Cricetulus griseus: one gene and its partner. The protein of the gene in region 2 purifies or fractionates together with the protein of the main gene of each other region. This does not show direct contact. Links are inferred from orthologs where the notes say so. Each region holds a gene or a part of one and is shown on either strand. Other genes may lie near its edges.

What was found.
Region 1: the proteins of Bicd2 (region 2) and Dync1i1 purify together in Homo sapiens (affinity purification with western blotting; 4 studies listed by BioGRID and IntAct, with this or other methods). This does not show direct contact. The link is inferred for Cricetulus griseus from reciprocal best matches to the Homo sapiens genes BICD2 and DYNC1I1.

Annotation. Positions count from the first base shown.
Region 1 is NW_023276806.1:219,166,967-219,171,326, reverse strand, and holds the start of Dync1i1 (cytoplasmic dynein 1 intermediate chain 1), read left to right. Parts: upstream 1-1,518; coding exon 1,519-1,626; intron 1,627-4,360. UniProt on the Homo sapiens protein: Acts as one of several non-catalytic accessory components of the cytoplasmic dynein 1 complex that are thought to be involved in linking dynein to cargos and to adapter proteins that regulate dynein function.
Region 2 is NC_048596.1:269,172,449-269,176,261, reverse strand, and holds part of Bicd2 (protein bicaudal D homolog 2), read right to left. Parts: intron 123-3,813; coding exon 1-122. UniProt on the Homo sapiens protein: Acts as an adapter protein linking the dynein motor complex to various cargos and converts dynein from a non-processive to a highly processive motor in the presence of dynactin.

The DNA of each region.
Region 1 (4,360 bases), on a different chromosome or scaffold from region 2:
ACACACACACACACACACACACACACACACACACACACACACACACACACTGAAGTTTCTATTTCTTTATCTGGATTCCTCACTTCTCTTGTACACACCCTCCAGGCTTCTTTGGAGGGTGTGTACACCCTCCAAAGGCTTCTTCTTTTTCCACATCTTTGCATGTCCACATCTTCCTTTCATTTGTGAGTTCCTGATATTGCTAGACATCCAGTTTGAGTTCTTCTGGCACCACTATGCTTGCCTTTGTCTCTGCCCTTAGACCTTTGTTATTTATTTGTTGGTTGATTTGTTTTGGTGTGCGGTACTTTGACCTTAAACTTCAGGGCTTGGGTATATGTAGTAGATCACAGTACATGAAAACTTGGCTTTAAGTTCTACTCTTTAAGTTCTAGAAAGCTTTCAATTCTATGGGTTTCATACTTACTTGCTTCCGGGAAGAAAGATGAAAGAAAATATTATCATTGGTAACTGATAACAGTCTTCTCCAAGCCTCTTGTATTTGAAAATGCTTCTGGTCCTATTATCATGAACATTGTCATGGCAACACTAAAGTTAAACAAACTTCAGAGCTGGAAAGATAGCTTAGCAGTTAGCACACTTGCTGATATTGCAGAGGACTCAGGTTCAAGTCTCAGCACCCACACAGCTCACAACCACCTGGAACTCCAGTTCCAAGAAATCTAACACCCTCGATTGGCCTCTGCAGATTCAAAAATGCATGTGGTACACATATGTACATGGAGGCAAAACAATCATACACATGAAATGAGTATTTTATAAAAAGATAAATAAAATTGACCCCTATGTGGATAAATTTTCCTAAGAGGTCAACACAAGGGTAACTCCTATTTCTTGTGTATATATCAACACCCTTTATGTGAAAGAGGTCAGTGCCAAAATAAAGAATATTGCATTCAGTATGCAATGAAAGTTCATAGAAATAGTGTTGTTTAGGAGATGAAATTAAGTGTGACAGTGGGAGGAGTTTACAGAAAAAATTAGCATTTCAGGATGCATATCCTATCAGGCAAAATGAAGTTTCGCTAAGCTCCATGTTTATCCAGTCCGCAGACACCTGAGCTGGGCACACTCTAGGGCTCCTGACAGGCCATTTTCTTTGTGCAGTTTGGAGATATATTGCTCCGTTAGCATCCAAACCTGAAGTCATCATGCTGATTCCTTTTTGATCTTCACTGACTCCTTTGTTTATCTGTGAAGAAACTTGTGCAGAAAGCGTGTTGCTCCCCTGGAAGTGCAGTGCTGTTCTTTTTCAACCCTGATGACAACATCAAATTTCTTCAGCATTTACGGATACATAATAGAAAAGGAATCACAGAGTGAGACCAAACCTAAGCTCTTTCTCTTCCTCAACACAGACCAAATAATACAGCCTATTATTACCCCTAGTCACATTTGCAAGCTGCATTTCCTTTTAAATTATTTTGCAATGACAGCAAAAAAAGATTACTTAGAGAGTGTCACTTTCTCTCCCTCCTTTTCTCCAAGGAAGCAACAATGTCTGACAAGAGCGACCTCAAAGCAGAGCTGGAGCGCAAAAAGCAGCGCTTGGCCCAGATAAGAGAGGAGAAGAAACGGAAGGAGGAAGAGAGGAAAAGGAAAGAGGTGAGGCTCGATTGGGGTGTTGTGGGGTCAAAGGGTCACTGGGATTCAAGGAATCAGTTAGGTGGACAAATAGGACCCTCGAGAGAAATCTGAATCAAGTGTGTGAACGTGCATCCACACACTCTGAAGGGAGAGGTCATCTCTCCTTGATAAGTGATGACAGGTGTCACGTGAGCAATGGCTCATAAATGGCTCAAAAGTCTACAAGCCGGGTTACCCTGGACTTGAAAGAACCCTGAGGGTGGTCCATGATCTCTTTGTCATTAGATATTCTTTATTCTTTATGGGCTGTTTTCTATTTTGGGAACAACGATTGGTTTTACTTCATGGAACTGCTAAGATTAGGATGGGCTCCCCTCCCACTGCCTGAAACTTAGGATATAGTTCATACCTGTGTTAGTGTTGAGAAAGAAAGAAAAAACAAAAGTCTTATTTATTTAATTTTGTATAAACCTAACAGTATGAACATTCTAGAAGACAAAGTGGATCCAATGTCAGTGGATTTCCAGTGATTCCTACACAGTGTGCATTTCCCATGGCCAATAAGAATCCTCAGCTTGGTTAAGAAGGAACCATTAGGAGGGTGGGTGAGTAAGATAGAGTACAGTGTTAGGCGTTTCAGCAGAAGGAGGCGTTCTACTGTCACTAAAAGTTTTCTTCTTTATATCACCAAATAGCAAGGACCCAGGGGCAAGACAGCTTTTCTCTTGGTAAACTCAAGTCAAAGACTCCTGAGCCCAAATTCAAAGCCTGTCATATGTCTTCTACCATCTCAGTCTGAGAAGTGGTGCATTTTTTACTCTCCAATTTGTTGTGACGGTGTAGAAACTGCCCAACTGATGCACAGAAACCAGATGGCAGATACTTGTGAATAGTTTTCTAGACAGGAAACTTTGAACAGGGTGATATGCCCACCCAGAGAGAAACTGGGACTGCTCCCCACACAGAGACTGTTTTTTGCAGGAAGAAGAAAGTGCTTTGATGCCTCGTAGTCTAAATAAATACTGTTTCATTCTACAAGTTTAAGAGTAAAATAACAGATTTACAATGTTTATCATTTCCCAATAATTGCAGTTGCAGTTTAGCCTTATGGCTTCCCCCATCTCTTTGGGCTGCACATGATGACTGATGTGATAGTGTGTGTGTCCTTGATATCCTACACAATGATTTCCCTGGGAGATCTTTGCTACTCTGTATGCAGGTTGTAGCTGAAACCGAGGTGAGAACTGACAAGGAATGGCTACTCATTTCCGTGGGGAGGAAAAGGCATTGTGTGATTGTGTTTCCCTTCTTTCAAATGTCAACAGCTACTGTATCTTTAAAGTGCCTGCTATTCCTTGCTAATAATGGGTTTTCTTTTACACTGACATTCTAATATCCAACTTGAATTTCACAGAATTACTATGAAGTGTGATGTGATATAGGAAATCTCGCTCCAAATTAGGCTGTCCGCTCTTTTTTATTTTGCCTTGGGAGAATCATGGGCCAACCAATCAAATTGAAGCTGTTTTTCCTTCCTTTCTCTCTCTGGCTCTCTTTCTTTCTTTCTTTCTTTTTTTTCTGGTATACCAGGCAGTTTTGAGGAGTAAAGGTCTCACCCCCTGCATAGCAAACAGAGCTTCCAGGGGCTTCTTTCTGCATGTTTCAGGCCTCCACAAGCCTCTGAAATTCAAATTACAAAAGGACTCACTGTCTCCATTTCTTTCTTTTTTTTTTTTTTGATTTTTTGAGACAGGATTTCTCTGTGTAGCTTTGGAGCCTATCCTGGCACTCGCTCTGGAGACTAGGCAGCCTCGAACTCACAGAGATCCTCCTGCCTCTGCCTCCCGAGTGGTGGGATTAAAGGCGTGTGCCACCAATGCCCGGCTCCATTTCTTTTTTAATTAATTTTATTTAAATTAAAACTATCTTATTTTACATGCCAATCTCAGTTCCCTCTCCCTCCCATCCTCCCCTTCCCCCCAAAAACCCTCCATCCACTCCACAGGGAGGGTGAGACCTCCCATGGGGGATCATCAAAGTCTTTCACATCATTTGGGGCAGGACTAGGCCCTCCCCCGTGTATCTAAGCTGAGAGAGTGTTCCTCCATAGGGAATGGGGTCCCAAAGCCCATTTGTGCACTAGGGATAAATAATGGTTCCACTGCCAGAGGCCCCATAGACTGCCCAGGCCTCCTAACTGACACCCACATTCGGGGTGCTTGTTTTGGGTCCATGAGCTCCTGCTTGTTCAGGTCAGCTGTCTCTGTGGGTTTCCCCAGCATGGTCTTGGCCCATTTGCTCATCACTCCTCTCTGCAACTGGATTCCAGGAGTTCTCAGTACTTGGCTGTGAATCTCTGCTTCTGCTTCCATCAGCTACTAGATAAAAGCTCTATGATGACATTTAAGGCAGTCATCAATCAATCTCATTATAGGGGAAGGGCATCCATTTCCTAACTGACAGGGCCGCTCGAAGTCACCAGGGCAACTCATAGTCCTACACTTCCATTCAGAAGATTCAAACCACGGCTCAACTTTGGGATGCACTGGCTGTATTGTATTAAGTTCTGCTCTGGCTTTAAATGTCTCTGCACAATCTGGTATCCCTTGAGAAGCTCTTTCCATTGTGTCATTTAACCATCTCTAAAACAAACAAGCAAAAACCACTTGTCTGTTGATGTGGTGGGTGAATGAGAGCGGGGCATTTGTGTGCTATAGCAAACGGGTGCAGCCCATTCACTCCTTCTCCTATG
Region 2 (3,813 bases):
AGCTCCAGCACCTTCCTCACATAGTACTGCTCTTTGGAGGCTGACTCCTGGATCAGGCTCTCCTCCCGGCTCTCACCATCAGCAGCCACCTTTTTGTGGTTTGTGTGTGCTTGTCCAAATGCCTGTGTGCACAGAAAAGACCTTCATGAGATGGGTGTCCCTGGGCCACAAAGCAATGGAGGCCTAAGACCACAGGAACATAGACCTGTGAAGCAGTTCCATGCTGTGCACATGTTAAAACACACATTGAGATGTGTGTAGCAGGCACGCTTCACGTTTCATTACATTGAGTGAAACCAAACTAGTCTTAGGAGCATCATGTGGAGTGACAGGAAGGAACACTAAGAGTATAGGGTCACAGACATAGGTGGAATTTCCTTTGTAAGGGACAAAGTTTGAGGCCTGATGATGTGTGCCAGTTGGAAAGTTCCCAGGACCAGGAAGCAAATGGTCTATACTGTGAGCTTGGCCAAGCTAATGGGAAACAACCCTAGAGCAGCACACCCAACATACATTCCAGGCTTACAAAATTGTGCTAGCCATTACATGCAAGGGGTGAGGAGCCACTCCATCCTGCTACCTGATGTCAAATCATCCTTCATTTGGTCTGGGACAAACCAGGGCTGGGCCCCCAGCCCTAAGGACAGGGCACAGTAACAACTAGCTAGAGTAGCCATCTCAGGGTACATAGGCACAGAGATGCATGTATCTGCATGCTTCAGACACTGGGGTGAGGAGCAAGGTGTGGGACTCTAGGACTCAGGAAGAAAACCTACAAAGTGAGAGCAACAAGTACTGGCCTCACCCACAACACCGTGCCAGTCACACACTGGGCCCTGGCCAGCCTGGCCTCCATTACATACCCCACTGAGAGGCTGAGCTATCTCCTTGGCCTTCCTTGCCTGACTCTTTATAGGAGTCATAGCTCATGGTAAGAAACAATAGTAAGAGAAGAGTTACTAAAGAACAAGAATATGATGGTTTTCACTAGATTTAAAAGAGAACAGGACTATTTTCTTTCATTTATGACTTCATAGGTCTGGGAACTCAGTCCAAGAAAACAATAAGCAAAACATACAAAGCTACATTGTACAGGGATGCTACTGAGCTGAAGCAGTTTCTAACACTAACACATGAAAATGCAGAAAGCAATTTTCATCCTGATAGGGAACTGGCAGAATGGAGCAGGGTCTAGACTGAGGCATAGGCCGTGTCCCAGACACTGTGAGAAGGCCTCCCAAGGGGCCAGAGGATGCACAGCCCAGTAGACCCAGGGAATGTATCAGAGGGCAACTTGGGGATCACAGTGTAACACTCCTGCAGGGGACTGGATTCCCTCACAAGGTAGCCAGGCCTTGCCCATGTGCTCTCAGTCCTCTAACAGAGCATCCATTCTACACAAATCAAAGCAGCTCAGATTTGTGATTTCTGTCTGTTTGCTTTCACCCTGATCCTAGGGAAGGATCAAGTAACACATTGCTACCTGCACAGAACTTGACCCATGCTACCTGTCCACCATAAGACACACAAAGGGAACCAGACACCAAACTGGCCCCCAACTCAGGGCTCTGGGACTGTACTGAAGAGTCCAGCACCTGTGGCTGCTTAGGACACACCCATAAACTTGGGAGTTGGGGCAAGGACTTCTCAGAACTTTTCCCCAAAGTGTGATGGCTAAGCAGCGTGATACAATCTTCAAGCCCAGGCCTGCCAACCTGGGCCCCAACTCTCTTCCTCCACCCAAGCTACCAGCCTAGGGCACAGGAGCAGCCCTGGACAGCTTTTCAAACACACTGATGGAGACATCTACCTCCAACTGAGAAGACACACAGTCACAAGGACAGGTTCCACTTCCTGTGTAGGAAAAGAACTGGAAAGCACAGGAATAGTCTGATGCAACATGGCTGGTGAGATGGCTCCGCAGGTAAAAGCGTGTGACGTCAAGCCTGACAACCTTTGTACTAAAACTCAAGACTCACGTGGCAGGAGAGAACTGACTCCCCAAGTTGTCCTATGACTTCCATATGTGTATTATGGTATGTGCAGGGCATGAATGTGGTATGTGTCCACACACATACACACAAACAATGTTAAATATGATAAAATAATAAGCATCAGTTTTCAAGTCTGTAATGCCAAGTAAAATGACAGGATGAGGAGAATCCTGCAACATCCTTCACCCCTTCAGATGGAGCTTGATGGCAGGACCTGTGGAAGAAGGTGTCTATTGACAGGGACGTAAGGGCAGCCAGAGCTCAGGCCCAGAGTGAATCTTTACTGAGGATGGTCAGTGTAGGGCTGGGGAAGCCAGGGGAAAGGACCATATGGCAGAGCAGGAACAATATCCCTGCCACAGTCTGAAAACAAGCCTGTTCCCGCTAGCCAGACTCACAGGCTTGGGGAGAGCATGTCTGGGGCCTGGCAGAATCAGCCTGGATTACACGCTGCTCTAGCACAGCAGAGCCAAGTGTAAAGACAGACCATGAAAGGATTAATCCATTTCCAAGCCACTACATCCTAGAACAAAGCTCAGAACACATTCAGGAAAACAAACACATCCAGCTGCCAACAGGTGAGCTCTACGGTGAAGACTTGAGGAAGAAAGGATTAGCAGACAGCACACAGCTCTGAGCGGCCCAGAAGGGCAGGCAGGCTGAGGGCCAGGTACCAGAACCAAATTCTCAACTCAGAAGCAAAGAACAAACACAAGACATAAAGGATGCCAGTAGAAAGAACTTGTGAAGAGGAAAGGCAGGGACAACAACAGACACACCATGCATCTGAGGGATAAACCAACTCTGGAAGACAGCCAAAGTGAATGCCCAAATGGAACAAAAACAATCAAAGCAGGGCCTAACAAATCCATGAGAGCAACAGTGAGGTGCGCGTCAATTACAAGGAGCCTGTCTATCAATTCCTCACAATGCCAGTCGAAGGCCCAGCAGCTTGCAGTAGAAAACTGACGAGAGAAAGAGAGAGAGAGAGAGAGAGAGAGAGAGAGAGAGAGAGAGAGAGAGAGAGAGAGAACCTCAGATCTGAGCATGATAGTCAACAGTGAATGCATGTAATCCCAGCTACTCAGGTGGCTGAGGCAGGAAGGTAGAACAGCCTGGGCAATAGAGATGGGCCCATCTTGGGAGAAAGAACCACCACAAGTGGGTTGGGGAGACCTTGGCTAAGTGGGTAGGTACAATGCTGGCCATGTAATAAGGACCTGAGTATGAACTGCCCAAAGCTACATAAAGACAAGATGTGGTAGTGTGTGCATCTGTAATCCTAGCTTTTCATTATTTTAAAGTACAAGGGCTGAGAGAGGCTCTGCAGGTAAAAGCATTTGCCATTCAAGTCTACTAACCTAAGTTCAATCCCCAGACCCAGGTAAATAAAGGTGGAAGGAGAGTCAGTTCTACAGAGTTGTCCTCTAACTTCTATAAACACACACAGACAGACAGACACAGCGGCATGTGTACACGGGGTGGGGGCGGTGGATAAATTAAAAAAATTAAATACAGTATATTCATATAATGAAGTACTACTCCCAATTAAAAAAAAAAAGTTGATACATCAACATAGATATACCTCAAAATCACCACAGTGGAAAAAGATACTGTTGGATTCTCTTTACATAGAACTCTAGAAATGCAAACTAAAATGGAGATGCAGTGGGTGGGGTGATTACAAAGGGAACCGGAACTACCAGAGACAGGCTCATTACCTTGGTTTTGCCAATAGTCTCAGAAACATATGCTTCCATGAAAACTTATACTGAAGTGCATGACACTCACTAAGGCTGCCTAAGGAAACAGTGTGGAT